Ovis aries: one gene and its partners. The protein of the gene in region 2 purifies or fractionates together with the protein of the main gene of each other region. This does not show direct contact. Links are inferred from orthologs where the notes say so. Each region holds a gene or a part of one and is shown on either strand. Other genes may lie near its edges. The genes, in order: COP1, JUN, NFE2L2, cyclic AMP-dependent transcription factor ATF-7, CREB5 and DHX9.

Evidence for each region.
Region 1: the proteins of JUN (region 2) and COP1 purify together in Homo sapiens (affinity purification with western blotting; 9 studies listed by BioGRID and IntAct, counting the BioPlex papers as one, with this or other methods). This does not show direct contact. The link is inferred for Ovis aries from reciprocal best matches to the Homo sapiens genes JUN and COP1.
Region 3: the proteins of JUN (region 2) and NFE2L2 purify together in Homo sapiens (affinity purification with western blotting; 4 studies listed by BioGRID and IntAct, with this or other methods). This does not show direct contact. The link is inferred for Ovis aries from reciprocal best matches to the Homo sapiens genes JUN and NFE2L2.
Region 4: the proteins of JUN (region 2) and cyclic AMP-dependent transcription factor ATF-7 purify together in Homo sapiens (affinity purification with mass spectrometry; 3 studies listed by BioGRID and IntAct, with this or other methods). This does not show direct contact. The link is inferred for Ovis aries from reciprocal best matches to the Homo sapiens genes JUN and ATF7.
Region 5: the proteins of JUN (region 2) and CREB5 purify together in Homo sapiens (affinity purification with mass spectrometry; 5 studies listed by BioGRID and IntAct, counting the BioPlex papers as one, with this or other methods). This does not show direct contact. The link is inferred for Ovis aries from reciprocal best matches to the Homo sapiens genes JUN and CREB5.
Region 6: the proteins of JUN (region 2) and DHX9 purify together in Homo sapiens (affinity purification with mass spectrometry; 3 studies listed by BioGRID and IntAct, with this or other methods). This does not show direct contact. The link is inferred for Ovis aries from reciprocal best matches to the Homo sapiens genes JUN and DHX9.

What each region holds. Positions count from the first base shown.
Region 1 is NC_056065.1:56,630,209-56,634,691, reverse strand, and holds part of COP1 (E3 ubiquitin-protein ligase COP1), read left to right. Parts: intron 1-1,538; coding exon 1,539-1,647; intron 1,648-2,529; coding exon 2,530-2,611; intron 2,612-4,483. UniProt on the Homo sapiens protein: E3 ubiquitin-protein ligase that mediates ubiquitination and subsequent proteasomal degradation of target proteins.
Region 2 is NC_056054.1:33,493,191-33,498,467, reverse strand, and holds JUN (transcription factor Jun), read left to right. Parts: upstream 1-1,804; 5' UTR 1,805-2,724; coding exon 2,725-3,732; 3' UTR 3,733-4,498; downstream 4,499-5,277. UniProt on the Homo sapiens protein: Transcription factor that recognizes and binds to the AP-1 consensus motif 5'-TGA[GC]TCA-3'.
Region 3 is NC_056055.1:132,851,279-132,856,561, forward strand, and holds the start of NFE2L2 (nuclear factor erythroid 2-related factor 2), read left to right. Parts: upstream 1-1,957; 5' UTR 1,958-2,105; coding exon 2,106-2,150; exon of another isoform or gene 2,151-2,500; intron 2,501-2,635; exon of another isoform or gene 2,636-2,873; intron 2,874-3,290; exon of another isoform or gene 3,291-3,320; intron 3,321-5,283.
Region 4 is NC_056056.1:132,902,627-132,907,890, forward strand, and holds the start of cyclic AMP-dependent transcription factor ATF-7, read left to right. Parts: upstream 1-2,083; 5' UTR 2,084-5,264. UniProt on the Homo sapiens protein: Stress-responsive chromatin regulator that plays a role in various biological processes including innate immunological memory, adipocyte differentiation or telomerase regulation.
Region 5 is NC_056057.1:68,888,851-68,893,333, forward strand, and holds part of CREB5 (cyclic AMP-responsive element-binding protein 5), read right to left. Parts: intron 990-4,483; coding exon 666-989; intron 1-665. UniProt on the Homo sapiens protein: Binds to the cAMP response element and activates transcription.
Region 6 is NC_056065.1:63,382,373-63,386,855, reverse strand, and holds part of DHX9 (ATP-dependent RNA helicase A), read right to left. Parts: coding exon 4,395-4,483; intron 4,286-4,394; coding exon 4,158-4,285; intron 2,715-4,157; coding exon 2,485-2,714; intron 2,331-2,484; coding exon 2,215-2,330; intron 1,348-2,214; coding exon 1,147-1,347; intron 1-1,146. UniProt on the Homo sapiens protein: Multifunctional ATP-dependent nucleic acid helicase that unwinds DNA and RNA in a 3' to 5' direction and that plays important roles in many processes, such as DNA replication, transcriptional activation, post-transcriptional RNA regulation, mRNA translation and RNA-mediated gene silencing.

The DNA of each region.
Region 1 (4,483 bases), on a different chromosome or scaffold from region 2:
GTTGCAAATAAACTCTTCAAACCCTAAAATGTAGCACAAATACAGCTAGAAGACAGCAAAAAGGCTTTGTGTTCAAATGCTTGGAAATCACCTAGGTCAGCTGCTTTGCTTTCTAAGTGACTTTTTCTTTAATATACATTAGCTTTACTATATGTGTGATGCACATATATGTCTAACCAAAAGCATATATTTTTAGATGTTGCATTCTCAATATTGGAACATTTGAGAATAGCCGAAACTGTAAATGTTAGAAGTTTAATTCTGTTAAATGCATTTTATTGAAATTTGAGTCATGCACTTACATTAGTCAACATTTGCCTGTAAACACAGAGACTCAATTCAGACCAGTTTACTGGCTTATATGATCTGACAAAACTGGAAGTAGGGCCCTGAAGGGTCTGATTTGGTCTCTGCCATGACATACGTGTGCCCCCCGGCCCCTGTTATCTCCACCTACAGACATGTATTCCTCATGTGTCTCCGCCATGACATACGTGTGTCCCCCCGGCCTCTATTATCTCCACCTCCAGACATGCATTCCTCATGTGTCTCCGCCATGACATACACGTGCCCCCCCGGCCTCTATTATCTCCACCTACAGACATGTATTCCTCATGTGTCTCTGCCATGACATATGTGTGTCCCCCCCAGCCTCTGTTATCTCCACCTACAGACATGTATTCCTCATGTGTCTCTGCCATGACATACGCGTGCCCCCCCAGCCTCTATTATCTCCACCTACAGACATGTATTCCTCATGTGTCTCTGCCATGACATATGTGTGTCCCCCCGGCCCCTGTATCTCCACCTACAGACATGTATTCCTCATGTGTCTCTGCCATGACATATGTGTGTCCCCCTGGCCCCTGTATCTCCACCTACAGACATGTATTCCTCATGTGTCTCTGCCGTGACATACGCGTGCCCCCCCAGCCTCTATTATCTCCACCTACAGACATGTATTCCTCATGTGTCTCCACCATGACATATGTGTGTCCCCCCGGCCCCTGTATCTCTACCTACAGACATGTATTCATCATGTGTCTCTGCCATGACATACGCGTGCCCCCCCAGCCTCTATTATCTCCACCTACAGACATGTATTCCTCATGTGTCTCCACCATGACATATGTGTGCCCCCCTGGCCTCTGTTATCTCTACCTACAGACATGTATTCCTCATGTGTCTCTGCCATGACATACGTGTGCCCCCCTGGCCTCTGTTATCTCCACCTACAGACATGTATTTTCATGTGTCAAGGATGGCCAGTAGCAACTTTAGGCACACCATATCTGTCTTCTAGCTGGTGATGAGAGTGAAGAGTGGTTATGGTTTGTGACTTGGTAGTTTCAATTGAATACTCTGGGAATTATTTGATGCCTTCTTCCTTGATGGATTGTGGGCAAAATAATTATTGTGAACTTATGTAGACCATTTTGAAAGGGTTCTAATCTTTTTGAACACGTCCAAATTCTTTGTATCCATTGCTATTTATTTTTATGTAAAATAAGGCTTAACTTAATATCCCTTTCTTTCAGCTGTATCAGTTGGAGTAGTTATCATAAGAACCTATTAGCCAGCAGTGATTATGAAGGCACCGTCATCCTATGGGATGGATTCACAGGACAGAGGTCAAAGGTCTATCAGGTAAATAAGAATACTAGTTACCTGTGGTTGTTGTTACTATTCAGTCGCTCAGTCGTGTCCAACTCTTTGCGATCCCATGGACTGCAGCACACCAGATTCCCTGTCCATCACTATCTCCAGAGTTTGTTCAAACTCATGTCCATTGAGTCGATGATGCCATCTGACAATCTTATCTTCTGTCATCCCGTTTGCCTTTTGCCCTCAATCTTTCCCAGCATCAGAGTCTTTTCCAGTGAGTCAGCTCTTTGCATCAGGTAGCCAAAATATTGGAGCTTGTTGCAAGAATCACATTTGTACTTTTTAATAATTATAGAGCTTCATGCATTTTATAATTACAAATTTAAAATCATTGTTTAGCATTTCCTCAGTTCCTCAGTTCAAATGGCAACCCACTACAGTATTCTTGCCTGGGGAATCCCAGGGACGGGGGAGCCTGGTGGGCTGCCGTCAGTGGGGTCGCACAGAGTCTGACACAACTGAAGTAACTTAGCAGCAGCAGCAGCAGCAGTTCCTCAGGTCAGCCGCTCATTTATATCTGACACTTTGCGACCCCATGGACTGCAGCACCCCAGGCTTCCCTGTCCATCACCAACTCCCAGAGCTTGCTCAAACTCATGTCCATCGAGTCAGGGATGCCATCCAACCGTCTACCTATGTAATTCCAGTAATGCTCTTTGCATTTGTAGGATGAATTTCCAAAAGTGGTAATTTTATAAATGTATATTTAAAAAGTTTATGGAGCTACTTTGCATCTCCTTTATTTTCATAGCCAGTTCTTTCTCCCTCCCACCATAGTGATAAATTGGTATCAGCTATGTTTATTTGTTTTGCTTTATTTAAGATCTATATTCTGAGACTACTTTGTCTTCCTTCTACATCTAGGAACATGAGAAGAGATGTTGGAGTGTTGACTTTAATTTGATGGATCCTAAACTCTTGGCTTCAGGTTCTGATGATGCAAAAGGTACTATTTGGGTCTCCCCCCCGAATTAATTCCTTTTAAAACCTAACAGAAATACACATATTTATTGAAACCCATAGTGATCCTTTGCGATTACTGATTATTCTAAAAATAGTCTAATAAGCACAAAAATCTTTATTTCTTGGAGTGAAAGAAAAATGAATATTCTGCATCTTCATTATAATAATTTTTTCTGAATTCATGCCTGTGATGTATTTATAACCAGTTCCTGTACATATACTGTGAAATGAACTTTTTTGTTGAAATATTTAGACATCACTGTATTCTGAATTGTATTAAATTCTGAGTGTATACCAAAATCTTTGAATGAAGTAAATCATGTTTCAAGGCAGAAATTCTATATTTCTTTCTGCCAATTTCATTGATCTTTCTATTTTTGTGTATGTGTGTGTGTGTGGTGTGTGTATCTGTCTTTACTGTTTGTTCTTTCCCGTTACTGTCTTCTTTTGGCCTGTTTTTTCTCAAGATTAGATTTATAAAGCCCTGTTAACAGATTTCTTTTATCTTGGCCCTCTCCTTCCTTTCCATCTGTAACTTGCAGACTAGTGAATAGATAGGCAGGGGTAGCTCTAGCGTTGGAAACTTTATTTCACAATGATTGTTGTTGTTGTTCAGTCTCTCAGTTGTGTCCGACCCTTTGCGACCCCTTGGCCTGCAGCACACGAGGCTTCCCTATGCTTCACCATCTCCTGGAGCTTGCCCAAACTCATGTCCATTGGGTTGGTGATGCCATCCAACCATCTCATTCTCAGTTGTCCCCTTCTCCTCCTGCCTTCAATCTTGCCCAGTAATCAGGGTCTTATCTAATGAGTCGGCTCTTCACATCATGTGGCCCAAGTACTGGAGCTTCAGCTTCAGCATGAGTCCTTCCATTGAATATTCAGGACTGATTTCCTTTAAGATTGACTAGTTTGATCTTGCAGCCCAAGAGACTCCCAGGAGTCTTCTCCAACACCACATTTCAAAAGCATCAATTCTTCAGCTCTGCTTTCTTTATGGTCCAACTCTCACATCCATACATGACTACTGGAAAAACCATAGCTTTTACTAGACAGACCTTTGTTGGCAAAGTAATCTCTCTGCTTTTTAATATGCTTTCTATGTTTGTCATAGCTTTTCTTTTAGGGAGCAAGGGTCTTTTAATTTCATGGCTGCAGTCACCATCTGCAGTGATTTGGGGGTCTGAGAAAATAAAAATCTGTCACTGTTTGCATTGTTTACCCATCTGTGACTGGATGCCATGATCTTTGTTTTGGGAGTGTTGAGTTTTAAGTCAGCTTTTTCACTCTCTTGTTTCACCTTCTTTAGTTCCTCTTCGCTTTCTGCCATAAGGATGGTGTCATCTGCATATCTGAGGTTATTGGTATTTCTCCCCGCAATCTTGATTCCAGCTTGTGCTTCATCAAACCCAGCATTTCACATGATGTATTCTGCATGTAAGTTAAATAAGTAGAGTGACAGTCTACAGCCTTGACGTACTCCTTTCCCAGTTTGGAACCAGTCCTTTGTTCTATGTCCGGTTTTAACTGTTGCTTCTTGACCTGCATACAGGTTTTTCAGAAGGCAGATGAGACGGTCTGGTAGTCCCATCTCTTTAAGAATTTTCCATGGTTTGTTCTGATCTACACAATCAAAGGCTTTAGCGTAGTCAATGAAGCAGAAGTAGATGTTTTTCTGCAATTCTCTTGCTTTTTCTGTGATCCAGCGGGTGTTGGCAATTTGATCTCTGGTTCCTCTGCCTCTTCTAAATCCAGCTTGAACATTTGGGAGTTCTCAGTTCAGGTACTATTGAAGCCTAGCATGGAGAATTTTGAGCATTACTTTTGCTAGCATGTGAAATGAGTGCAATTGTGC
Region 2 (5,277 bases):
ATGTCCCTAACACCAGCTGCTGCTGGGCTGCTGAATCTCAACTCTCAAAGCCACAAATACCTTAAAGCTCCGGGCTATGCAAGCTCAGAAGCTGAAAAGCCAGAATTAGGACCTAGGGACATAAACTGCTGCAGGTCCAACGTCAAACCACGGTCCTGGAGAAAACCCTGGAAGGAGCTGAGTTCTGACCCTTTCCTCCCTCACCCTCCTCACAGGTTAAATCCACCTGTTCCTGCCAAGTCACACTCATATCCTGGCATTCCATGGACGCTCCGGAAGCTCTGACCAAGGGCAGGGAAGGGGGCTGTTGGTGACCACCTCCTAGCCCTGGAGACAATGACTCTACACTAAGCCAGGCCTATGAGGTGGGTCTCACCAGCCCCACTTGCAGATGAAGAAACTCAGGGAAGTTCTCTGATTCGCTCCCTTCACATTGCGGCAGCGTTGGCCAGGAGAGAACCCACGACTCCAGACTTCGGTATTCTTTCCACCGTACACTTTCGTCCCTAAGGGGCGCGGGGTTGGGGGAGGAGAAGAATAACCACCACTGAAAAGGAACCACTTACATGGGTCTAGCGCTTCCTAGAGGCTACACAGGATATGGGCCCACCCCCCAGCCGGGAGCGGAGAAATTTTAAATCTTTATTCTACTCACTCGCTGCGTGACTTTTGGCAAGTGTCTGCTGCTCTCGGACTTGTTTTCCCGGAAGCAAATCGGGGCGGGAGGAGTGGCGTGTGCGTGTGTGTGTGTTTGTGTGTACATGTGATGTGCGGTGTGTCTATGCATGTTGTGCGGGGGCGGAGAGTAGACTATCACCGGGGTTCCCCGAGTTTCGGATTCTCCAAACGCTCGTTCAAACTAGACGCCGAGTTGCCCCTTAAATCCACCTCCTGTAAGAAACCTTTCCGAGGCAAAGATGCGAACCCCCGCACCCTTTCTCCCACGGTCGGGAGGGTGAGGTGGGAGTGCGGAGGGGACTTAGCCGAACACCCAGTTTCAAGCAATGCAAATCACTGGACTTCCAGACAGAGCCAGACAGTCGCTACTGAACTTGACCAGGAGACAAACTTCAGGGCATTCTCAACGTGGGGGGCCGACTCTCACGAACTGCCCCCAAATTTAAAAGCCACTTTCACTCGCCCCCACAGGGGACTTAACAGAGCCACCTTAAGGGCGGTGCTCCCGCCCCCCGGAAGTGCGGGGGGGCCAGGAACCCAGGCGCTCAACGGGCCCGGCCCGCCCCGAGCGGCGGCGAAGTGCCCGCGGGTGACATCGAACCCCCAAGTGGGGAAATACCACCCGCCCCGCGCCCTCGGCCCCAGACACCTGGCTCGGTTCCCCTGGCCTCCTGGGTCCTAGCATCCCTGGCATTCCCATCCGAGCCCTAAACTTCAGCCCACTTCCCTCAGAGGCTGGGAGCGCCGGAGTCCGCCCGGCTCGCGGCAGCCACCGTCACTAGACAGTCAAACCCCAAGACGTCAGCCCACAATGCACCGGGCGGGCCGGGAAAGACGCGTCGGGGAGGGAGGGGGAAGAGAGGGGCGCGAGTCGCGCGGAGCGGGTTGGGGGGAGGAGGAGAAAGAAGGGCCCAACTGTAGGAGGGCAACGGAGCATTACCTCATCCCGTGAGCCTCCGCGGGCCCAGAGAAGAATCTTCTAGGGTGGGGTCTCCATGGCGACGGGTGGGCCCGCCCCCCTGAGAGCGACGCGAGCCAATGGGAAGGCCTTGGGGTGACATCATGGGCTATTTTTAGGGGTTGACTGGTAGCAGATAAGTGTTGCGCTCCGGCTGGATAAGGGCTCAGAGTTGCACTGAGTGTGGCTGAAGCTGCGAGGCGGGAGTGGAGGTGCGCGGACGCAGGCAGGCAGACAGGCACAGTCAGTCGAGAAGGACAGCAAATCCTATTTTCCAATTTCTCTCCAACTGCCCGGAGCTAGCGCTTGTGGCTCCCGGCCTGGTGTTTTGGGGAGCGCCGGGAGAGCCCCTTCGCCAGCCGCCCCCAGGCGGAGAGCCCCGCTGCGCGGGCGCTGCTGACAGCGCGGAGAGCGGCCACTGTCCGCCCGGGGAAGTCCGGAGAGCGGCTGCAGCGGCAAGAACTTTCCCGGCCAGGAAGACAGGAGACAAGTGGCCGCCGGGTCCCGGAACGAACTTTTGCAAATCTTGCCTCCGCCCGAAGCTGCCGCGGCGGCGGTGAAGAAAAAGAGGCGGCGGAGAGAGGAGGACGTGCGCTCCGCTTCGCTCGCACCGGTTGCTGAACTTGGGCGAGCGCGAGCCGCGGCTGCCGGGCGCCCCCTCCCCCTCTCAGCGGAGGAGGGGACAGTCTTCCGAGTCGGGGCGGCGGACACCCGCCGCCGGCAGGCAAACGCGGGGTCCGCGCTCCCTGCTATCACCGGGAAGCGAGTTCGTCCGCGGGCTCTGAGGAACCGCTGCGCTCGAGAGAGCTCCGTGAGTGACCGCGACTTTTCAAAGCCGGGCGGCGCGCGCGAGCGGACAAGTAAGAGCGCGGGCGGCGTCTTAACCCTGCGATCCCCCGGACCGAGCTGGTGAGGAGGGCGCCGGGGGCGGGGGCTGCCAGCCGGCGGGGGCGCGCGCTCTTCCAGAAACTTTCCTTGCTCACTGCCCGGGGAGGCGCGGGTGTCCCCCGCTTGCCAGCGCGCTGTTGCGGCCCCGAAACTTCTGCGCGCAGCTTAAACTAAGCCCACGCGAAGTGACGGACTGTTCTATGACTGCAAAGATGGAAACGACCTTCTACGACGATGCCCTCAACGCCTCGTTCCTCCAGTCTGAGAGCGGCGCCTACGGCTACAGTAACCCCAAGATTCTGAAGCAGAGCATGACCCTGAATCTGGCCGACCCGGTGGGCAGCCTGAAGCCGCACCTCCGGGCCAAGAACTCCGACCTCCTCACCTCGCCCGACGTTGGGCTGCTCAAGCTGGCGTCGCCCGAGCTGGAGCGCCTGATCATACAGTCCAGCAACGGGCATATCACCACCACGCCGACCCCCACCCAGTTCCTGTGCCCCAAGAACGTGACGGACGAGCAGGAGGGATTCGCCGAGGGCTTCGTGCGCGCCCTGGCCGAACTGCACAGCCAGAACACGCTGCCCAGCGTCACGTCGGCGGCGCAGCCGGTCAGCGGGGCGGGCCTGGTGGCCCCGGCGGTGGCCTCGGTGGCGGGCGGCAGCGGCAGCGGCGGCTTCAGCGCCAGCCTGCACAGCGAGCCGCCGGTCTACGCCAACCTCAGCAACTTCAACCCCGGCGCGCTGAGCAGCGGCGGCGGGGCGCCCTCCTACGGCGCGGCTGGCCTGGCCTTTCCCGCGCAGCCCCAGCAGCAGCAGCAGCAACCACCGCAGCCGCCGCACCACCTGCCCCAGCAGATACCCGTGCAGCACCCGCGGCTGCAGGCCCTGAAGGAAGAGCCGCAGACGGTGCCCGAGATGCCCGGGGAAACGCCGCCCCTGTCCCCCATCGACATGGAGTCCCAGGAGCGGATCAAGGCGGAGAGGAAGCGCATGAGGAACCGCATCGCTGCTTCCAAGTGCCGGAAAAGGAAGCTGGAGAGGATCGCGCGGCTGGAGGAAAAAGTGAAAACCTTGAAAGCGCAGAACTCGGAGCTGGCGTCCACCGCCAATATGCTCAGGGAACAGGTGGCCCAGCTTAAACAAAAAGTCATGAACCACGTTAACAGCGGGTGCCAACTCATGCTAACGCAGCAGTTGCAAACGTTTTGAGGCGAGACTGTCGGGGGCTGAGGGGCAACGGAGAAAAAATATAAATAACACAGAGAGACAGATTTGAGAACTTGACAAGTTGCGAGAGAGAAACAGAGAAAAAAACAAAAGTGTCCGAGGACTAAAGCCAAGGGTATCCAAGTTGGACTGGGTTGCGTCCTGACGGCGCCCCCAGTGTGCACGAGTGGGAAGGACTTGGCGCGCCCTCCCTTGGCGAGGAGCCAGGGAACGGCCGCTCGCGGGCTGCCCGGGTTTGCGGACGGGCTGTCCCCGCGCAAACAGAACGTTAGACTTTTCTTTAACGTTGACCAAGAACTGCATGGACCTAACATTCGATCTCATTCAGTATTAAAGGGGTGGGGTGGGGGAGGGGGTTGCAAACTGCAATAGAGACTGTAGATCGCTTCTGTAGTACTCCTTAAGAACACAAAGGGGGTGGGGGAGGGGAGGCGGGAGGGAGGTTTGTGAGAGCGAGGCCCAGCCTGCAGATGAGCTCTTTCTGGCCTGCCTTCCATAACTGTGTATGTACATATATATATTTTTTAATTTGATGAAAGCTGATTACTGTCAATAAACAGCTTCATGCCTTTGTAAGTTATTCATGTTTGTTTGTTTGGGTGTCCTGCCCAGCCTTGTTTGTAAATAAGAGATTTGGAGCACTCTGAGTTTACCATTTGTAATAAAGTATATAATTTTTTTTATGTTTTGTTTCTGAAAATTCCAGAAAGGATATTTAAGAAAATACAATAAAATATTGAAAAAGTTACCCCTCCCCCAACCTCTTTTCTGCATTATCTATAGATTACTTGTCTAGGTGGAGTTGAAAGAGTTGAGTGTCAATTAAAATCACTGTGGGTGCTTCTTACTAGCAGGCCCTGAAAACTGTTGTCTGCTTGACTTGAGAAAGAACTGCAGCTGATGCTGTCATCAAGTTAATACTTTTCCCTCCCCAGCAATCTACATAGAGTTGCTTACCAAGGATAGTGTGCCATTTCAGGAAGATGAGCGAAGGGAGGTTGTGGTGGAGATGGACAGCCCACTGGGAAATCTAACATTTTAGTTTGGATTATATCAAGTGGCATGTGCTGTGACCATTTATAATGTTAGTAGAAATTTAAACAATAGATGCTTATTCTCAAAGCAGGAACGGTGGCAGATTTTTTACAAAAGCTGTATGCTTCCAATTTGGAATCTTCAACGATTCCTAGATAAAAGAGATGGTCTTTGCTTATGAATATTTATAACAGCATTCTTGTCACAATAAACGTATTCAAATACCAATAACAGATCTTGATTTCCTTTCCCTTTTGTCCTTTTTTCCTCCCAAGTTCTATTCTGAAGCTTTTCTTTTCAGTTGCTGGGGTTAACATTATGAAGTTATTTGGTAATTAAGAAGCAAAGAATTTAGGAAAAGTCAACACAGAAGTTGCAGTCTGGATGAAATGTTCTCCCTGCTTCATTCATTCTCTTTCTCTCTCTCCCTCCCTACTTCTCTTCCCACTCACCTCTCCCTGAAATAAACACCTGTGCCCAGACAAATTACCA
Region 3 (5,283 bases), on a different chromosome or scaffold from region 2:
ATGCCAAACAGCTTTTTTTTAGCTGTTTCCTTAATTTTTCTTAAACATGTTCAGACTCTTATTGTATTGTCCTCCTCCCTTTGAAAATATGTACTCTGCAGGTGCCTGAAATAATATACTCCCAGTAATTGCAGTTTTGCAAAAGTAAAGTTTATTTTATTCAGTCTAAACTCAACGGAAATTTGTTGCCCAACAAGGAAATACCAAATTTTATAAGCCGCTGGAGGGCAGCCATCATGTCGTATATGACTTTGTTATTGCCTGCCTCCTGTGCTCTCTGTCTACCTTCTCCATGTACTAATTTTAATAAGTAACTTGAATTGTTAGCAATATACTCTGGTGCCATTCTTTGACACAGAAATGTCATTTCATAATGTCTCTGCATATTCCATGTCAGGTTCACTGTAAATCACTTCTCCTGAGCTTGTTGTTAGTGTGCAGATCATTTTGCAGCCTTCTCACTTAACAGCTGAAAGTTTAATTCAAATTGAAGAAACTTACTTCAATTACAGGCAATTAATTTAGGCTTCACTTACCTTAAGAAATATTCCAACATATAAATCAACAGGTAAGTCCTGGGAGGGTCAAATTACGCAACCAAGAGAAAGTAAGTTCTTTGCAGCTTTGGGGGCGTTGGTCTGCTGTAGTCAGGCTTTTATGGTTTTCTTTTTCTTTTTTTGGCGTCAGGTTTTTGAATGAAATAGTAAAACCAGTGCCAGACACTGTCTACTCCACCTGGTTTTGCATAATTCGAAGAAGTGATAAACTGAAAATCAGGCTTGTTAAAGAGCTAGAAAGAGTGCTGTTGCATAAGAGAAAACAAAACTAAACCATTTCTCTATTCTTTTTTAAATCATAAGATTTCACAATATTCCTGTTTTCAAGTACTTGAAGTTTGCTCTGGGCACTGACTACTTTTTAAATAATTGTTTTTAAGGTGCAGTGAATAATACACATTTATCGTAGATTTAAAACATACTTAAAGTAACAAAGAGATAAAAATCATTCAAGGTCCTGCAACTATTAATATTACTAGTAATATTTTGAAGAACTTTTTTTTTTCTAGGTACATGCTTTCACAGAACGGGTCCATACTACACAGTTTTATAACTTGTTTTTTGCGTTTTTGTTTTTAAAATCGTATCTTGAGTACGTGAAAACTTCTAGAGGTTATGACACGTTTGTAATATCGAACAGGGTTAAAAATCGCCATCTATGGTGTGGCGTGTGCACTCTGGTGGGAAGAGAATGCTCCGGATGGGCAAGCTCGACCACTCTCCGATCCAAAGAGACTTCTCCATTCGCCCTCGGGGACTGAAGCCTGGCCAGAGTGCAAGGCGTGGGAGTAAGTGGAGGGCGATCAGGGTGACCGAGCACGAGCTCCCCGCGCGGTCCACTCTTCCCCCGGGCCAGTCTCACTGGCTGAGCCGGAGCGAGAGGGCAGCTCGCCGTGAGCTGGGCCCAGGTCCCGGCTTCCGGCCCCCACCCCCCGGGCTGGCGCCACTCTCGGGCGGTGGGGAGAGAGAAAGCCGGGCAAGGTTCTGCAAATCCAAAGCAGGGAGGCGCAGCTCCGATACCATCGCCTTTGCCGAGTCTCCAAGCATGTTTGTTTCAACTGTTTAAACTGTTTCAAAGCACCCGAACCCCAGCGACCTTCGGCAAACAACTCAATCCCACGGGCGGGGAGCGATGGCCGTATTCGCTAGAAGGGCAAACTGACAGCGGAGGCAGGCGAGCTTCGGGGGCCTTCCTCCGGCACTCTGCCTGCCCGCAGCCGCCCCTGAGACCCCCGCCCGCAACTCTTTCCCGCCCCAGGACGGCCAGCTTCTTGCGTCAGCCCGGCGAGGGTGGGGGATTTTCGGAAGGTCGGCCCGGGCGGCTGGCTGGGGAAGGAAGGGCCTTGGGCTCTCGCCCCGCCCTCGCGGGGCGGGAGGCGGAGCGGGACAAGAGCCCGATCGGCGACTCCGGCCAAGTCAGGGAGAAGCGAGTTCCTAGGATCCCCCAGGAGCCGCCGCCGCCACCAGTACCGCCGTGTCCGCTCCAAGCCTCGGCAGCCGGAACAGGGCCGCCGTCGGGGAGCCTCAAAGCACCGTCCCCAGCTCAGCATGATGGACTTGGAGCTGCCCCCGCCGGGACTGCCGTCCCAGCAGGTGGTGCCAGGACGGGAGCAGGGGCGCGAGGGAGCCGCGGCCCGGGAGGGACAGCCGCATCGGCCTCTTTCCCCGTCTGTGGCCGGAGCGGACTGCAGCTGCCGCGCACACACCAGAGCCGCCGCGCTTGAGCTGGGGCCGGGGGAGGGGAGTGGCGACCCCAAGGGCTGCGAGGGGTATGGGGGCGCGGGGAATGGTGTGACTGACAACGCGCCCGCAGCCCCCGAGGGCGGTAGGGTTGGGGTTGGGGGGCTACGCCAGCGCGCGTGGGGGCGAAGTGCGTCTCTAACCGCGTCCCCGGTCGCCGGAGCCGAGATGCTGGAGCCGCGGCCGGCCCCCTCTCCGAGTTTGAGCGGCCGGGAGGCAACCGGGTAGGAGAGGGCGGACACTGGCGGTCTGAGCCGGCGCGGCCCGGCCCTTCCGGGGCTGCGCGGCTCCCCCGCCTCGGAGCCGGCAAAAATGTGCCTAGTCACGGGGCCACTCTCGGGGGAACTGAGGTCTCCGGGCTGGGACCCGGAACCCCTCCTCTGCCGCTGCTCCTCTGCTCAAGACCTCCGCGGGCGCGAGCCGCGGCGCTCTTACCCTGCTGAGGGTTCTCTTAGGCAGAGTGATCAATCACTCCAGCCTTGCGATCGCCCTGAGGCCGCTTGGCGAAAATGCCCAGCTCCCAGGGTGGGGGCAGGAGGAGGTCACCAAGCGCCCAGCGCACTCGGTTTCCCCGACGTACGGCGATCGAACCCTGCCCTGCGCGCCGCCTCGCCCCGAGGGAAGGGTTCGGGCTCTTAGAACTCTGAGTCGGCCCCTAGCAATACGCCGGCAAGGGCGGGTGGGGCGGTGGACTCTGAAGTCCGACGGGCCTTCGCCCCCCACCCCACCCCAGCTCCCCGGGGCTTCTCGATCCCGGCGCTGTGCTTCCCGGTGGCGCACGCCGCGAGCGTCGTCCCGGCGCCGTGACAGTGGCCGGTTGGCTGTCACGGCGGCCCTCAGTGGGCCCTTTCCTGCTTTGTAGCGTGCAAACCTTGCCGCGCCGGGGCCAAGGGACAAGTTGGAGCTGTTGATCTGTTGCGCAATTGTTATTTTCCCTAGGGCGGCTTTGTCTTTGGATTTAGCGTTTCGGAATTGCAATTCCAAAATGTGTAAGGCAGGATATTCTGTTCTCTGCTGTCAAGGGTAAGAATTTCGAGTGTAGATTAGCATTTCTGTTGTTTTTAGGCTGTTACTAAATGTTGCGCTTTCATACATTGTTTCTCTTTTGGGTGCTTTATGTAGTTTTCCTTTTCTGTTTGAGAATTTGCCTCAATTGCTTTCCTAGTATGTTGCTTTTGAGAGGGCAGAGGGTGGGACAGCTGTGTCTCATAAAACTTCGCTAACAAGTTCTGTAAATGTCGCAAATGTGGGAACAAGTTTCTGTGTATATTTTGTAGGGACTTTTTAAAGGAGTAGATAGTTTTATTTCCAATTTGTGCGTGTGAATGCGTTTTTTGGAAAAATATTTAGTTCAAGGAAATGTGTAACCTAATAGGAACGGTAAATATATTTAAGCTCTTAAACATCAAGCTTTAGACTAATCCTGAAGTAAGGTTTTGATATATTGACAATGTAGTGATTGTGCCTTTTTTTTCCCTTGGAAGCTGTTGTCTTGAACTTTCCCCCAGTAGTGATTAAGACTGTGTTCCTTCCTCCCCACGATATGAAGAAATAAATTGTGCTTTCCGATTCAGCTGCTGTTCAGTCCCTATAGCCATTTCTTTAATAATCTATATGACCAAAGGATATATGATGCTAATGGACTCTAGTTTTCCCAGATTCAGGAATGTAGCCTAGAGGGGTATATTACTGAAGTTTTTATTTCTTTCTTAACTATATAATTTACCATTCCATATACAAAAGTGGGTAAACATCTTTACTGCTTTTTCTTTTAAATGTGAACTTTCCAATTATGTTTGTTAAGGTAACTCCCTTTCCACCCTTTGTAATCAGACCTCAGTTTGCATATGCGAAGAGTATAAAAGAAAATGGAATAAAATTTAGAGTTAATGTCATGCCTGTAACTAAGATTCATATTAAATCTTTGTAGTCCAGGAAGATTTGGACAGAGTCATAAGTGGATTCTAACCTCTTGTCAAAGAAACACCAGGCAGGAGGTGGTACGGGGGTAAAAGTTCTTCCCCCTTTGTGCAAAGGAGGTGTTGATGAAGAGCAGTAGAGTTTTACATTCTGAATTTCCATTAGCTTCTGGAAGGAATCATCTACCCTTTTCAAAGCTGTCTTGGAGAAAGTATTTTTGCATATGAGGAATGAAGTTGATCTTGGACTAGGTAGGTAACTTCCAAAGAAAAATAAGGCCTCCCTCTCATCTCCAGAAGGTTGAGCAAAGAACAACTTGACTTTTTAGATATTTGGAAAAAAACCTCTTGAGAGATTGTGAAAGATTGTAGTAGGATAAAAACGTAACTCACATCAGTCTGCATTAAAAGTAGCATGGGCCATTTTGGACTCTTTCTTGTCAACTTGGGTTTTTATAAACAGTGCTGGGAGGGGAAACCCCAAAATCTGACTTTCTTTAGGATAATCAGGAAGAATTGAAAGCTAAATACACGAATTTTACTTACAGAGCTACATGAGAAAAAGAAACCTCTGTGGGCTAGAAGCACTTTTTTTTTCCCCGGGGAATTTCCTCTCTACTGGCGGAACACATTTAAAGGGGGGTTTGCGTAAATATTTCTTCTTTGATTTTTCCTTCATCTGGGGTTCACTCGTCAGTGCATATTCTTGGATTCAGGAGTTTGGCACTCAGATAATCGTAGATGAGTTATTGGACACTTACTTGTGTGCCAGGCGGTACGATAATTGCTTCACATGTATAATTTCACAGTCACCGTGTAGAAAATACTGTCTCCAGTTTCTAGGTGAGGAAAGAGGCATAAAGCAGCCAGGGTCCTGGGTCCTGGTTAAAGTGACTCAACTATTGAGTGGCAGAGGTGGGATTCAAACCCTGGTAGAAGGACCCCACTTCCGAAGTAGACCAAGACTAGTTAACTTTAAACAGAAGGAAACTCTTACGCTTGTAAAAATGGACAAATCGAGAAAAACTACAAGAAGCACAGGTAGGAATTTAAAAGATTAATCTTTG
Region 4 (5,264 bases), on a different chromosome or scaffold from region 2:
TATCATCTGCATATCTGAGGTTACTGATATTTCTCCTGGCAATCTTGATTCCAACTTGTGATTCATTCAACCTGGCATTTCAGCATGATGTACACCACATAGATGTTAAATAAGCCAGGTGATAATATACAGCCTTGATGTACTTCTGTCCCAATTTTGAACCAATCCATTGTTCCATGTCCAGTTCTAACTATTGCTTCCTGACCTGCCTACAGGTTTCTCAGGAGGAAGATCAGTTGGTCTGGTATTCCCATCTCTTTAAGAATTTTCCACAGTTTGTTGTGATCCACATAGTTAAAGGCTTTAGCATAGTCAATGAAGCAGAAATAGATGTTTTTCTGGAATTCCCATGCTTTTTCTACGATCCAGTGGTTGTTGATCTCTGGTTCCTCTGCCTTTTCTAAATCTAGCTTGTACATCTGGAAGTTCTCGGTTCACTTACTGTTGAAGTCTAGCTTGAAGGATTTTGAGCATTACGTTGCTAGCATGTAAAATGAGCACAATTGTACAATAGGGAGAAATCACCTGGATTCTGTCTACATTTCAGAGGCTAGGAAGATAAATGAGATCCTAGGCATGAAGTTCAGAAATTTGTGTAATATAAAGCCGCAAAAGGAAGTTTGAGAGAAAACAGATTCCATAGGTAATATTTTTTGAGTTAACTCTCTTTATAATTACATAACATTTTAAAAGTTTTTTTTTTTTTTTTTTAGTTGTGGTTAAAAAAAACCAACACAAAAAAACTGCACAATATAAAATTTACCACCTTGGTAACAACATGAGAAAATTTTAAATATAGCCTTTACATTTGATGCCACAGCTGTCTCTTCATAGTTCAACTCAGTACAAAGGTTACTTCTTCAGTGAGGTCTCTCAATACAGAAGTAAAGTTGCTTTCCTACTCTTGGTCACTTTCTGTCTCATTACCTTAAAGCATTCTTCACTAACTGAAATATTTATGTTTATTAACTGTCTCCCCCTCCCCAGGGAAGGGCTTCCCAGGTGGCTCATGGTAAAGATTTCGCGGGTTCTAACCCTGGGTGGGGAAGATGCCCTGGAGAAGGAAATGGCAATCCACTCCAGTATTCTTGCCTGGGAAATTCCATGGACATAAGAGCCTGGAGGGCTACAGTCCATGTGGTCTCAAAGAGTCAGATGTGACTTAGTGACTAAACAACAACCTCCTCCCCGCTAAAACTGTAAATTCTACCGGAGTAGGGAACTGGTATGTCTACTCTTCTTCCATGCCTAGTTCTTTGCACACAGTATGTTCTAAGTATTTGTTTAAATACTTTCTGAGTAATAAGTATAGTGCCTTTTAATACCAAACAAGTTTCATATAGCTTATCTCATTTGATTATTACAACTCTGAGTAAAATCGGATTGTTGGCCCCACTATAAAGATACTCAAAAGAAAATGATAGAACTCTCCACCTCCATATACAGCAACACACAGAACAGAGACTATGGCTACGGTGATGCTATTCTAAGTGCCAAGAAGAAAATACAACTACTCGACTCCTTGGAACACTGAATCACCTTGTGTAGCTGTCTCGGGTTTTCCCCCAGTTTAAAAACGATTAAAAAAAAAAATTTTTTTTTTTTTTGGCCGTCCCGCAGGGCTTGCAGGATCTTTGTTCCATTCCCAAGGGTTGGAACCCGTGGCCCCTGCAGTGGAAGCGCGGAGTCCTCATCACTGGTAGGCCAGGGAATTCCCTTCCCCTGTTCTTTAAAAAAAAAACCAACCAGCTTTATTGAGGTATATAACCTTGTCTTGTTTTTAAAGTGCGCTCTTTTGTAATAATCTAATTCTCTAGTATGAGAATACTTTGGATCTCCATTACTACAGGCACCTGTAAGCATTCCTTCTTTTTCTTTTTTTCCCCTTACACTATGCAGTCGAACACGTGTGACCAGCGCCTCGGGAACTCGCTCTGCCTCCCACCCTAGCCCTGCCCACCGAAAGTCCCGCCCCTTCTTTTTCCGGAGCCCGGCCCCTCGGCTTCTTTCCGACCTGGCTCGGCGGATCTCGCCCTTCCTCCAACCCCTCTCTACATCTCGCGAGAAGTGAGAGCGCCTGGCCGGACGAGAGAAAAGTATCTGCTCCGCTGAGGGGGGAAAGAAGGAGCTGGAGATAGATTGTGGGACCGATCGCGGGCGGGCGGGAGGCGACGGAGCTACCAGAGGGTGAGTCCTGTTAACATTAACTAGTCCATGACCTGACGGGCGTCTCCCCGTCAACTCTGGTCAATCCCAGCGTCCCAGACCGGGGTCTCCCCTCCCAGTATGTGTTGGACGGGGGCGCTGAGGCGGTGGCCGGGCCCTGTCTGAGGAAGAGGGTGGGGCATGGGCTAAGGCCGACCAATAAGAGAGAAGGAAGCTACAATTGGCGGCGACGAGCACTAATGGGAGGTCATCTTTACCTTGCGGAGTGACGCCCCTCTTCTCTCCCTCCTCCCGCCTCCTTCCTTTGGGGGGGGAAGGCGGGGCCAGAGGCCTGAAGTGTGGGGAGAACTTGGGGTAAGTAGCCCCGGGGGGCACAGGGCGTGGCAAGGAGAGGGGAGTTGAATCCTGAGGGAATGGAAGTCTAGTGGAGCCTGGAATGGGGTGGAATGGGAGAAAGGGGAAGGGTACTAAACTGGTTGAAGACGCTGGACTTCTCCAAAGAGTGGGGTTAGAGGCTTGGCATTGGAAGAGTTAGTGGTAATAGGCAGGAGGTAGGGTTGAGTAGGTGAAAACATAGCATTTGGTTTTGCTGGGAAGATAGGGAGGAATAAGTGTAAGTGAGAGCGTGGCATTTCGATTGAATTATAAGAAAAACTATCAGGGACAAGATATCAGAGGAAAAGTATGGGCATGAAGAAAATTAAGTGAATGAGTTTAGGAAGATTTAATAGGGGTGGGTGTAGTGGCCAAAAGGCATCACTTTGGGTAGGGTATGGGGGAATCCAGAGGGGTAGGAGAGGTATTTGGTTGGGAGACGGTTGATAATGGACAGGTGTTTAGCTTAGGTATCAGAAGAAGTCTGAGAAGTGATTTTAGAGCTTTTGGTGAATATGGCATCCAGTCTGGTAACCAGCCTGCAAGAAAGCTAGGATAGTGGTAAAGAGAAAAACAGAACACTTTCATCACTTCTACTCTGATTTCCTTTCTCCGTCTCTTCCTCTTCCCGACTTCATCTGTTCCTCAGCTCAGGGATGGGGGCTTGGGACTTCAGTGGCCAAGTCAAAGCCCCATCGGGAGTTATATGTTGCTCTGAATTGCTTGTTATGTTCTCTGACTGGGGTGTTTACTGCCCAGGGCACCTCCTACCCAGATTCCCGCGTTGCTACTTTCCTGACTGTAAAGTTTGTTTTCTACTTACCAGAGGGTGTTTTAGTACCTCTGAGGGTTGTGTCATAGTAAGTGTAGTTTTGTGGGGGTATGCAGAGTTTTCTCCACAATCTCACTTGATTCCTATGTTTAAAAACTTTGCAGTAGTGTAATCAATTCTTGCAGAGACATCGGTTTTTTAGGTATTCTAAGCACAGAAAAATGTACTATACTGGTTTGTTTTGTTAATTGTTTCTTTCCCACTTGAGTTGCTAAATGGATGGTTGCAGTTAGTTTTAGCTAGCTTATGTGTGGTTTTTTTTTAAGTGGTGTAAATAAAATGGACACGTATTTCAGGAAAGTGAAAAATTTTCAGTTTCTTCTTTTGTGTCCAGATCAGAAAGCTAAAGATATGTCATAATATCTTGGGGGCAAGGGTTGGGGAAATCAAACACAATTTGTGCTTAAACATGGAGGATATAAGGTAAGTGGAGACTATTGCGAAATGTAACATGTCAGTAATAAAAGAAGCTAAAGAAAAGTCTGGCAGCTATACTAAGTAGTCTTACCAGTTCTTAATTCTGTACAAAAAAGGGACAAGTCTTTGCCCTTTGTTTGATATTTGTTTATTATTTAATAATGAGCTAGTATAGTCCATTAATAACTTCTTTGCTGTTGCATAAATTTGTCTTTTACATTCCTTTTCTTCTTTTACTTTTGGAAGCAAAATGACATCTGAAATACTAGCAACGGTGTTGTATGAAGAGAAACCAGAGTGTGTTGCTTCGTATTAACTTTTGGTTTTCAGCAACCATTTATCCTCCTGGCCAGGAACTTACCCCTACAGCACATTGAGACTAATTAATTACTGTCCTTATAGCATTAACTACTTAATTGGGTTCCAGTATTTCACATTCAGAGCATTGCTATTGGATATTCAGACATTTTCACAGTTTGCCTGGCAGTAGCACAAAGAAATATCCAGTGAGAGGGCAAAGTTCCTTGTTTTATTCTTCCATTCTAGAATTTGTGATGGCTTTGACTTGAGCACTGTCTCGTTAGTGTTACCACCTAGCAGAAGGCTAGAGAATAATAAACACTGCTCATCTTTAAACTTGTGGATCAAAGGGTACAACCTGTGATAGTTTCAGTGTTGTAACTTTTAAGCATTTTTGCTTACCATGGCTTTAAAATGTTGATAGATACCGTTGTATATCTCCGTTCTCTTCCCCGTCCCTTTCCTCTCCCTCTTTCTTCGCCTTTCCTTTCTTACTTTCAGTTCAAAATTAAATTTGTTTTTTCAACCAACTCTCAAACTGCTGCTTTAAGTCCCTGGCTCTGCCTGAACACAGCTGCTCTGAAATTCTCACAAGTTATTGTTTTGTACACGTCAAGAATGAGTTTTTCCTAGGCTGCAGTTGAAGGGAGTCAGTGATACAGCAGCCTCCTATCCATGTCTGAGAGGAGGAACCTTTTTGAAAGGAAGTTTTAGGTGGAGCAAATAGTATTGCCATATAAATGTCTAATAAAAACAGCTCTCTTTTTGAAACTAGTTGGCAGGCTGGCATACAGTTGTCCCTTATCCCATGATAAAGGTACATAAGTTAAGGTGCATGTGTTGTTTCTTTGAGAAAAACAAATGCAGCATTCATTTAAAAAGAAAAACATTATTTCTTTTGTTGTTGGTTTCTCTGATTGTGGTACTGTGATTTTAGAGTTCATGGGAGAAAGTCTTCCATTTCCAGAAACATGACAAAATGATTTTTAATATTCTCATTTTTGAATGTTGCCTTCCCCTAGCAGGCCTATTTTTAGGATCAAGTATATTCTTGAAATGTGGAAATACATCATTTTTGAATGTTTGGTGGATGATCTTTTAACTTCTGAATGCTGTAAGGAAGCGATCTCTACTTCATAGATACCCTGTTCCATTATTGGAGCTCTACTTTTAG
Region 5 (4,483 bases), on a different chromosome or scaffold from region 2:
TTGGTGACTTTCCACCTCTGGGGTTTGGCCTTTCTCTTGAACTGATCATCTACAGAGCTTGGCTCTCTGTCTGCTCCCTCCAACGCATTTCTCATTGGGTGGGATGAGTCATCTCTCTTCAACATTCACAAAGCACCTTACACTCTAACATCCATCACCGAACCTTTGTCTGCCTGAAATTGTTACTCTTTATATTTTTAATATTTACTCTTATTTAGAAGATTGCCCACTGTATTTAATTTCCATTTTACAGGTGACACAAGTGGGTCTCTAAGATGTTATAAAGCACTGCAGCTAGAACCATGGTTAGAATGAACTTACCTTCCTCGTTCTTTATTCACTTCTTTCATTACATGCTTAAATTCCTAATCCTCCATTGGTGTTACAGTTTTAGGGTTAACTTTGTAATATACTACAAAAATAGATTCTGGAGAACTTAAGTTTCCCTTTTCCCTTAGAAACTAGACTTGATATTTATCATATTAGTTATGGAAAGTGCGATCTGGGAGGGTCCTATGGGTAACCATTACCTCCTAGGAAATGAACAGAGTCCCTCAGAGTGTTAGAACACGTGGGCTTGTCAAGTAAGGTTGCTGCCAACGAGCCCGTCATTAGAGCCGGCACTGTTAATGAGAAGAGGGAAAGAGATAATGAAAAAGGTCTACCTGTGCTTGGTTGCCGGAGTGCAGGGGTGGGTGTGGCGAGGTCTGGTGGTGTGCTGGGTGTGCGTGAAGGTGGGAGTGGGAGTGATGATGTGGGTGGTTCTGCTGGTGATGGGGCTGAGGATGAGGGTGGTGCGCTGGGTGCTGGTGCTGGTGCGGGTAGGGGTGGTGGGCCGGCAGTGTCTGGTGCTGGTGAGGGTGTGAGTGCATGTGATGGTGCGGCGTCTGGTCCTGCCGGGAGCCCATCATTTCCATCATGTGTCCCATGGTGTTCATATTCCCATTCGACATGGCGGCAGGGTGGTGAGTCAATGCAGCCTTCAGCCTCTGAAAAGAACAAAAGGAGAGGGGACGGACACAGTCAGCTGTGTATACAACAGGGATCTCAAATCAAAATGACTCATAGTTTCAAGTTTATAATATTTAGCAGCTTCCCGGGTGGCTCAAGTGGTAAAGAATATGCCTGCCAATGCAGGAGGCACAGGAGGTGTGAGTTTGATCTCTGGGTCAGGAAGATTCCCCTGGAGGAGAAAATGGAAACCCATTCCAGTACTCTTGCCTGGATAATCCCCATAGACAGAGGAGCTTAGTGGGCTACAGTCCATGGGGTTGCAAAGAGTCACAACTGAGGGGACTTAGCATGAACATGTAATGATACTATTATTAACATTTTTTTTCTTACTGGGTAGCAGTATGGCTTTTATATAAATTTCAAATTTTCATATGTATTAGAGTAGGTAAGTGTGTCAATGTCAGCCAGGAATGTTAATTAATTCAACTGACACTGCAAATGAGCAGGATACCCTAGACACTTTACTAAAAGGTATTTCCTACTATCCAATTGTTCGCTATATCCTATTGACAGCCAAGTGCAAGTATAAACCCAATGGAATCATTCAATATGACAATATCAGTGAACAAAAGGCCCATATGAAATGGCACTGTCTCAAGAATAAAAGATTTTTGCTTTTCAAAAGATTTCTCAGACCCAAAGAGGAAAGAATTTCAAATTTCAGAATCTAGGAACAATTTTAATATTATTTTAAGTCTTCAAATTAGATTAGAAATCCACAACTTTGGGAGGCAATGTAGATCTTTCCATTTGTTCCTATGACACTTCTCATAATCCCTCTGATAATCTAATTTTCTCACACAATAATGTTCTTCTGATTTTAAAGTTAAAGAATATGGACCATTGCACTTCTACAGCTTCTGTGATGACCATACCACAGGGCAGGTACAAAATCATCAACCATCAACAAGCAAACAGACATTTACACAATTAAATTCTCCCTGAATCTAACCCCTAAGCAGGGGTCAGCAAGCTTTTCAATAAAGAAGTCAGATAGTAAATATTTCCATCATTGCATGCCTTAAGGTCTCTCACAACTACTCAGCTCAGCCCTTTCAGCACAAAAACAGATATGGACATTCTGTAAACATATGACCATGCCATGTTTCAACACAATTTTACTTAGGGACAGGATATATGAATTTCATATAACTTCCACATGTCACAAAATACTATGCTACTTTTGATTTTCTTTTTCAATCATTTTAAAATGTCAAACATTTTTAGCTCCTGTGCTGTGCAAAATTAGGCCGTGGTAAAGAATCAGTTGGTAGTCAAGTTGTTTGCAGTCTTTTACCCAGACAATTATCGTCATACCCTGAGGGGCACAGTGTACTAAGTATTGTATAATACAGTTACTCCTTGGAAATGTATCTTCTGCAGAGATGATAGTCTAGTTGGCAAGCTTATGTTGGCCTCATGAAGTATTTACTAGGGAACTCAAAGTTCTCTCCTGATTTGCATTCTTATCTGATTGATGATGATAGCCTGTAATCACTGCAAATGGAAGAGCGGTATTTAAATGACGATCAAAGCTACCATGTGCCAGCCCTATGCAATATTAATGATTCTCAACTGGGCAGAGTAAACTATTGACAAGGATAAATTCAATCCATAAAAATCTTTACTTAAATATAAAGAGCCTCCACTTGTTTAAAAAAAAAACACATAAAAAACAGGCCGGCAGGCAGGGGTAGGGCCAGGTAGAGGTTGACAAACCATATGTTAATATTCAATAATCATTGAATACATTTCCTGCATCTGATGCAGCAACCACTGAGCGCAACTGCCTCCCCCTTCACAAGCAACATCTGCTACACAGGAGCTACTGAACTGCATCAGTATCCTAAAGAAGTTAGGCTTCCTGAATCCCTGGGAAAGATTAGGTGCTGCGTATTGTGTTTATTACTAAACAGAAAAGTGAACAGATACTCCTCACCTCCAAGCTTTAGAAATGAGTTCATTGTTTTTATAAAAACGCTCATTATAAAAAACTCAAGTGACACTTAAAAGTACAGTGAAGTCAGTAACCAGTGAACCAAGTGCATTGCTTAAATTTGGTGGGTGGATGGTATTCCAGACAGCTCTCTCTGTAGAGATGGAGCAACAAGTCGAGTCATTTCATAACAGCGGGATCAAACCCTTATTTGAAGAGAACATAAGCAAAAGAAGCAAGAATTGGATGAATTGCTGGACTTCAGATATATGTTTCTTAAATCCAAGAAAACTCTGTAAGTGATACATTCAAACTTCAAAGTGAAGAAAATTATGAAAAAATATATTGAGATCATTATTTTGAAATTGACATACCAAATAGTATTGATGGATTTTCTATACTATTCTTTATAATTTTATTATTATAAAATATAAAGCTGCATAGTAAAAAAAACACACTACTACAAGACTATGTGGTGAAAAAGTAAAAGCCACCTGCCTACCTTCTTCTTTCTTAGCCCCATTCCTCAGATGTAACTACCAAGTATCTGCTGACATATCCTCAGCATTTATCAGAACGTGTTGTGTAAGCTCTTTATAATGATATATGATTTTGTATCTTGCTTTTTTTCTACTTCAACAATATATATCTTTGACAACATGCCCTATCAATAATAGCTAATAATAATGTCTGGCATCAATTGAGCACTCACTCTGGGCCACTCCTCATTCTGTGTTGTATGAATATTAACTCACTTAATCCTCAGAACAATCCGGCAAGGCACAAAGACAGACTAATCCATGTGCCCAAGCTCTTGCCACTGGAGAGGAGCAGAGGTGAGCTACCTCCAGACCTGTTCTCTACACCAGGACAGAAGGAGCTGGAAGGCTTGCCATGCACACTTTGTCAAAAATGGGAAAAAATTGTATTGTGCCACCTCCCTATCATCAAAAGGAAATGCAAAAAGAAGAGAAGTGCCCAGAAAAAAAAATGACAAGATTATTTCTGCACAGTGTAGCACACAAGTGGAGACCCAGTGTATCTTGCTTGTTCTGAAACTTGGCAGAGGTAAGGGGGGGGAGGTAACAATCTCCAGGCAGCTCAACTGCAGCAAAGGACCATCCAGAGCTTAGCATCATCATCTCTTGTGTTATATTTATTAAGAATGGGTACTTATATTCCACCCCCAAACACAGATCTGACAAGGTCCAGGTATATTTTCTCCCTGGCCCCACTTCCTAACCTTCAGGTATATGACTGTTCTATCTTCTCCCTGGCCCCACTTCCTAACCTTCACGTGTATGACTGTTCTAGGTCTTTTCAATGTTCAGGGGATGAAGTTCAAGCCCTTAACACAGCCTATGCATAGGCACTGAGGAGTGTGGCCTGGCACTCCCACCAACGCTTCCATCTCATTGTCTTTTTGCCTGGGACGATCTTTCCTTTTCCTCAGACACTCTAGAGCTTTAAGCAGCAGGACCCTCTTTAGTAAAATTCTCCCTGGTCTCTGCTCTAAACCAATTCCTATTGTTA
Region 6 (4,483 bases), on a different chromosome or scaffold from region 2:
TACTGCATTTATACCATGCCTGGGACACGTATTTTCCATCTTTCTTTCTGAAGATTCTTTCTCAATTGTTCTATACAACTGACCTTGTGGGCAGACCACAGTCATGAGAGCACCATTTCAGGAGCCATCCTGTCTGCTTGAGAATTCAACTCTACCATTCACTAGCTGGAAGATCTTGGGTTTTAACTTCCCTGTGCTTAGTTTATTCATTTATATTAAAAGGGATAATGATCTACCTACATCACAGGTGGATCAAGTATTAAAGCAAGCGAATATCAGAAAAGCACTTAGCACAGTGTGCCACAGCTAAGTACTATGTTTGATTAATTCAAAGGAAAAGTTAACTCAGTTATAACCAAAATGGAATGCCAGAATCCATAAAGCACACAGCATTTCTGTATAGTAAGTTAACACTTTAAAACCAAATGCAGTTAAGTGATTTTTGATGGGGAGATTGAAAAATATTTTTGAATGACAAATTTTAATGACTGTATATTAGATACTATTATTTTAACACATTTTTGTGTGTGACTTATAGCTATGTTCTTAAAAGATACATGAAGCATACTAATGTAAAATGTCATAACACCTGCAACTGAATCACAAATGATTCAACAAAAGTATGTGTGTAATATATATATGTATCAAAGCAAGTGTCACAAAATGCTGACAATCATTGAAACCTAAGTTAACAGAGTTCACTGTACTACTGTTCTGCCTTTTCTACAGGTATCAAAAATTTTGAGAGTAAAAGGCAGTGGGCAAAGAAAATTTTTAAAGGTGAAAAAAAATGAGGCAATTAGAACACTTTAAAGATTAAACTCTGACGCTTTTCATTCGAAGCAGCAGCAATTTAAGCCCTCATCATTTTTCCTGTAGAGATGGCAAAGCAGTTGGGCCTGTCGCTTTTTTTCCTGTCATGGGACCTATCCTGGACTCCATATGTACTTCCAAGGTCTCTATCTTTAGCATGCACTGGTGTAACATATCATTAACACTCTTTCTCTGAATGTGTTAACCAGAACTAAACTTCATTTAGAATGTGTATATAATTTTAACTTAAATAACAAGGCCTCCATAAACTAAATGTAGAGTAAGATTACTGTCTCTTCTGCTTAGTTCAAAGAAAGTTACTGTGGTACCCACCGTGTAGTGCCAATCATAAGGTTGATACCAGCAGCTGAGGGCCGAGAGATCTGGCGGATTGTGTTCAGCATACGTTCATTAACAGGATCCAACTGGCTGATGATACCAGGCTGTTTGGTTACTTCAACAACCAGAGCCTCCATGGCTGCTCGAAGAGCAGTGATACAGGCAGCAGCTTCATGAGATATTTGCAATCTTATCCTAAATTAGGGAAAAATGATTAAAAATGAGAGGAGGTACACACAGAAAAAGACTATTATCTCCCAATTTCACCCATGGCAAGTGATGGGATAAATTTAACTTCTTTTCCAAATGTAATGGCCCTAGATTTAGCAAACACAGGTATGAAGAGTAACAATAAGTTAAACCAACTTCTTAAACTTCACTGCTAGCTACTGGCAGGAGTTGTGAACCATGAAGTCTACCAAGTGAAGTACGCTTAGCCATACAGATCACTTCAGCCTCCAATAAAAGAATGAAATGAGAGACTACTAACCATTAAGTTCTGTCCAATTCTGCCAAGTGCTTACTACACAGACACCACTTGTCTCTAAGCAATATGGAGTGTACATAAAAAAAGAGGCATCCAAATTCCAATTAGATTTTAACTCCTCAGTATGGTATTCACGGTGGTGGATGGGGCTCCAATGAGTAATGCAGCAGCCCCCAACCTTTTTGGCACCAGGAATCGATTTTTGTGGAAGAAACTTCTTCCAGACTGGGGTGGTGGTGGGGATGGTTTGGGATGATTCAAGTGCATTACATTTACTGTGCACTGAATTTCTATTACTACCACATCAGCTCCGCCTCAGGTCATCAGGCCTTAGACCCCAGAGGGTGGGCACCCCTGATTTACTGCATCTGCCTCTACAAGTATAATCAATTTGAGACTTCACTATCAGCTACAAATCGTAAGCCTAGGATATACTCCTCTAAGAAAAGACAGTGTTACACAACACATTGTTTATGCCATCGAATTCTGCCATATTTCACAAATAGATTAGCAGCTGAATTCCAGTACATTTCAATTCTAAGAATTCAGGTGAGTTCACATCTGAAAATCCATACCAGTCGTCTACAACCACAAGCTGTCCATCAGACATAACTTTCTTGGAGGCAAAAAGCAGCAGCTGCAAGGGGGTGACTAAGGTCATGCCTTTAGCAGAGATGGCCCGAGTTCGAATCTGAAGATAAAGAGGCAAGAGGAAAAAGTTGACATTCCAACTGTCAATCAACTACCATATAATAATAATGAACTAAAACCCATGTCCCCACTACACATTAATAAAGTAATCTGGATTTTAAATGTAGAAGTTTTCTAAACCTCCCTTTTCTTACCTTTTCACCAAATACAAAGAAGGGAGATGGGTACTTCATGTCTTGGCTGCTAAAAGGACAATTAACAGATGACTTGTGGATAAGTGCATTACGCCCTTCAGTGGTGAGAATCTTTCTCTTTTCCTTATGGTAACACACATTGGGGTACACACCAAAGGCCAGGAGAGAGATAACAACATCCAGATTATTGTCTGGTCCAGTGTTAGTAAACACTTGTGTCAGTAAACACTCTGTAAAGAGGAAGGAGAGTAAAAAAAAAAAATCAAGTATCTGGCTAATTCTAACATTGAATTTACCAAAATTAAATGACAATTATAAGAATTAACTCCTCCCTCATTCTCTTTTTCAAATAACCCATCTCACTGCCTCTGTTCTTAGCATTCTCGCACTCAGATTAATGCAAGGAGAAATTTTGCTGAGTCTTCACAATTTTAGTAAAATTAAAACATCTGTTTTCTTTTGTAGACACAACTAAGCTTGAAGTACTTAAAAACAAATGCCCCAATTAACCATCTCCTCTCAGATTAGAGCTAGACCGGTATGACCAGTATTTCACCTGCTGCTCTTAAAAAGCTGTTCCTTCTACAGAAGATGACCAAGAGGAACACACTAGAAAAACGCTGCTGTTTTCACCCAAAAAATGCTTTGTGCCCAGGCCATCACATGGAAAATATGATGGTAAGAGTGTGGATAAACTTTGTTCCAAAAAGCCTGTATACCAGTCTTATAAACTTCTGAACTGAATGAATGTGGACAAGTAATTTAAACCTCTGGCCAGCTGCCTAACCTGTAAAATGGAGGTCATATCTGCATCTCAGGAATTTTGTAAAGAGTCTATCATACAAAAATGTCCTATTTTCCTTTGATTTTTGAAAGTACAAATTTAGTCAGTTTACAACAGAAGAAAAATGTTTAGTTATTTAGATATGGCCCAGAAGGTAGTCCTTCTCTCTCTCAACTAGCTATTTCTGGTTATGTGTTCCAACTCTCAATATTTCAGAAAATTAACTCTGTCTCAATCTAGCTGGAGAAGTACAATTGTTCAAATTCACACAAGAAATGAACAGTTGGATTACTATTCCTATATCAGATATCAAAGTCCTCTATGATTAGCTATCCATTAAAACTTACTCAAAGCCAATTAAAATTTAATGCAATAGAGTTTACTTCACACCTAAGAATGAACAGATCAGCAAATTAACACATCACTTCAGAAACCACTACCTGAAGTAAATTCAACAAACTGCTCATTCTAGAAGTGCAAAAAGCTAGGCCTGTTTTTTTACAAAGTAAATGGATCAGAAATAAAAACACACCCTTCCACCTAAAAAAAGACAGTGATGTGTAACTGACTCATTTTGCTGTACAGCAGAGCCTAACACAACACTGTAAATCAACTACAATCCAATAAAAACAAAACCTCCTAAAGCAGCACAACTCTCAAAACATCTATTCATCATCTGTGTACAAAACTGTAATTTGAACATTATAACCTTTTGCATCCTTAAAAAAAATTCAATTAATGTGAAAAACTGATTATCACCAGAGTTCAAAAAACTAAGAAATAGCTAGGAATACAAAAAAAACAAAAGCCTTATGTTTAAAGCTAAAATATACTGGGACTGTCAATGTGAATGTTTAATATTAAGGTACTTTAGATATGAGAATCTTACCTTCTGGAAATCCAGAATTAATGAGAATCTCTTTGAGCTGAACTTTGGCTTCCCAGGTCATTCTTAGTGTTGCCATATTGAGTCTTTTGTGCTCACAAAAACGTATCTCGGCTTCTTCTCCACCCATTCTAAACAAACAGGTTAAGAAGTTATGCTCAAAGCCTAAAGAACTAGACACAGACTACAAACTAGACAGTTCATTCAAATCTTACAAATCTTTGTCTTTCAAGCCCATACCTAGCATCATCCCAAGCCTGGAATACTGATAAAAGGGCCACATGATCAGAAAATCGGTTTCCAGCAAAATTTCGATGGATATAACCCAG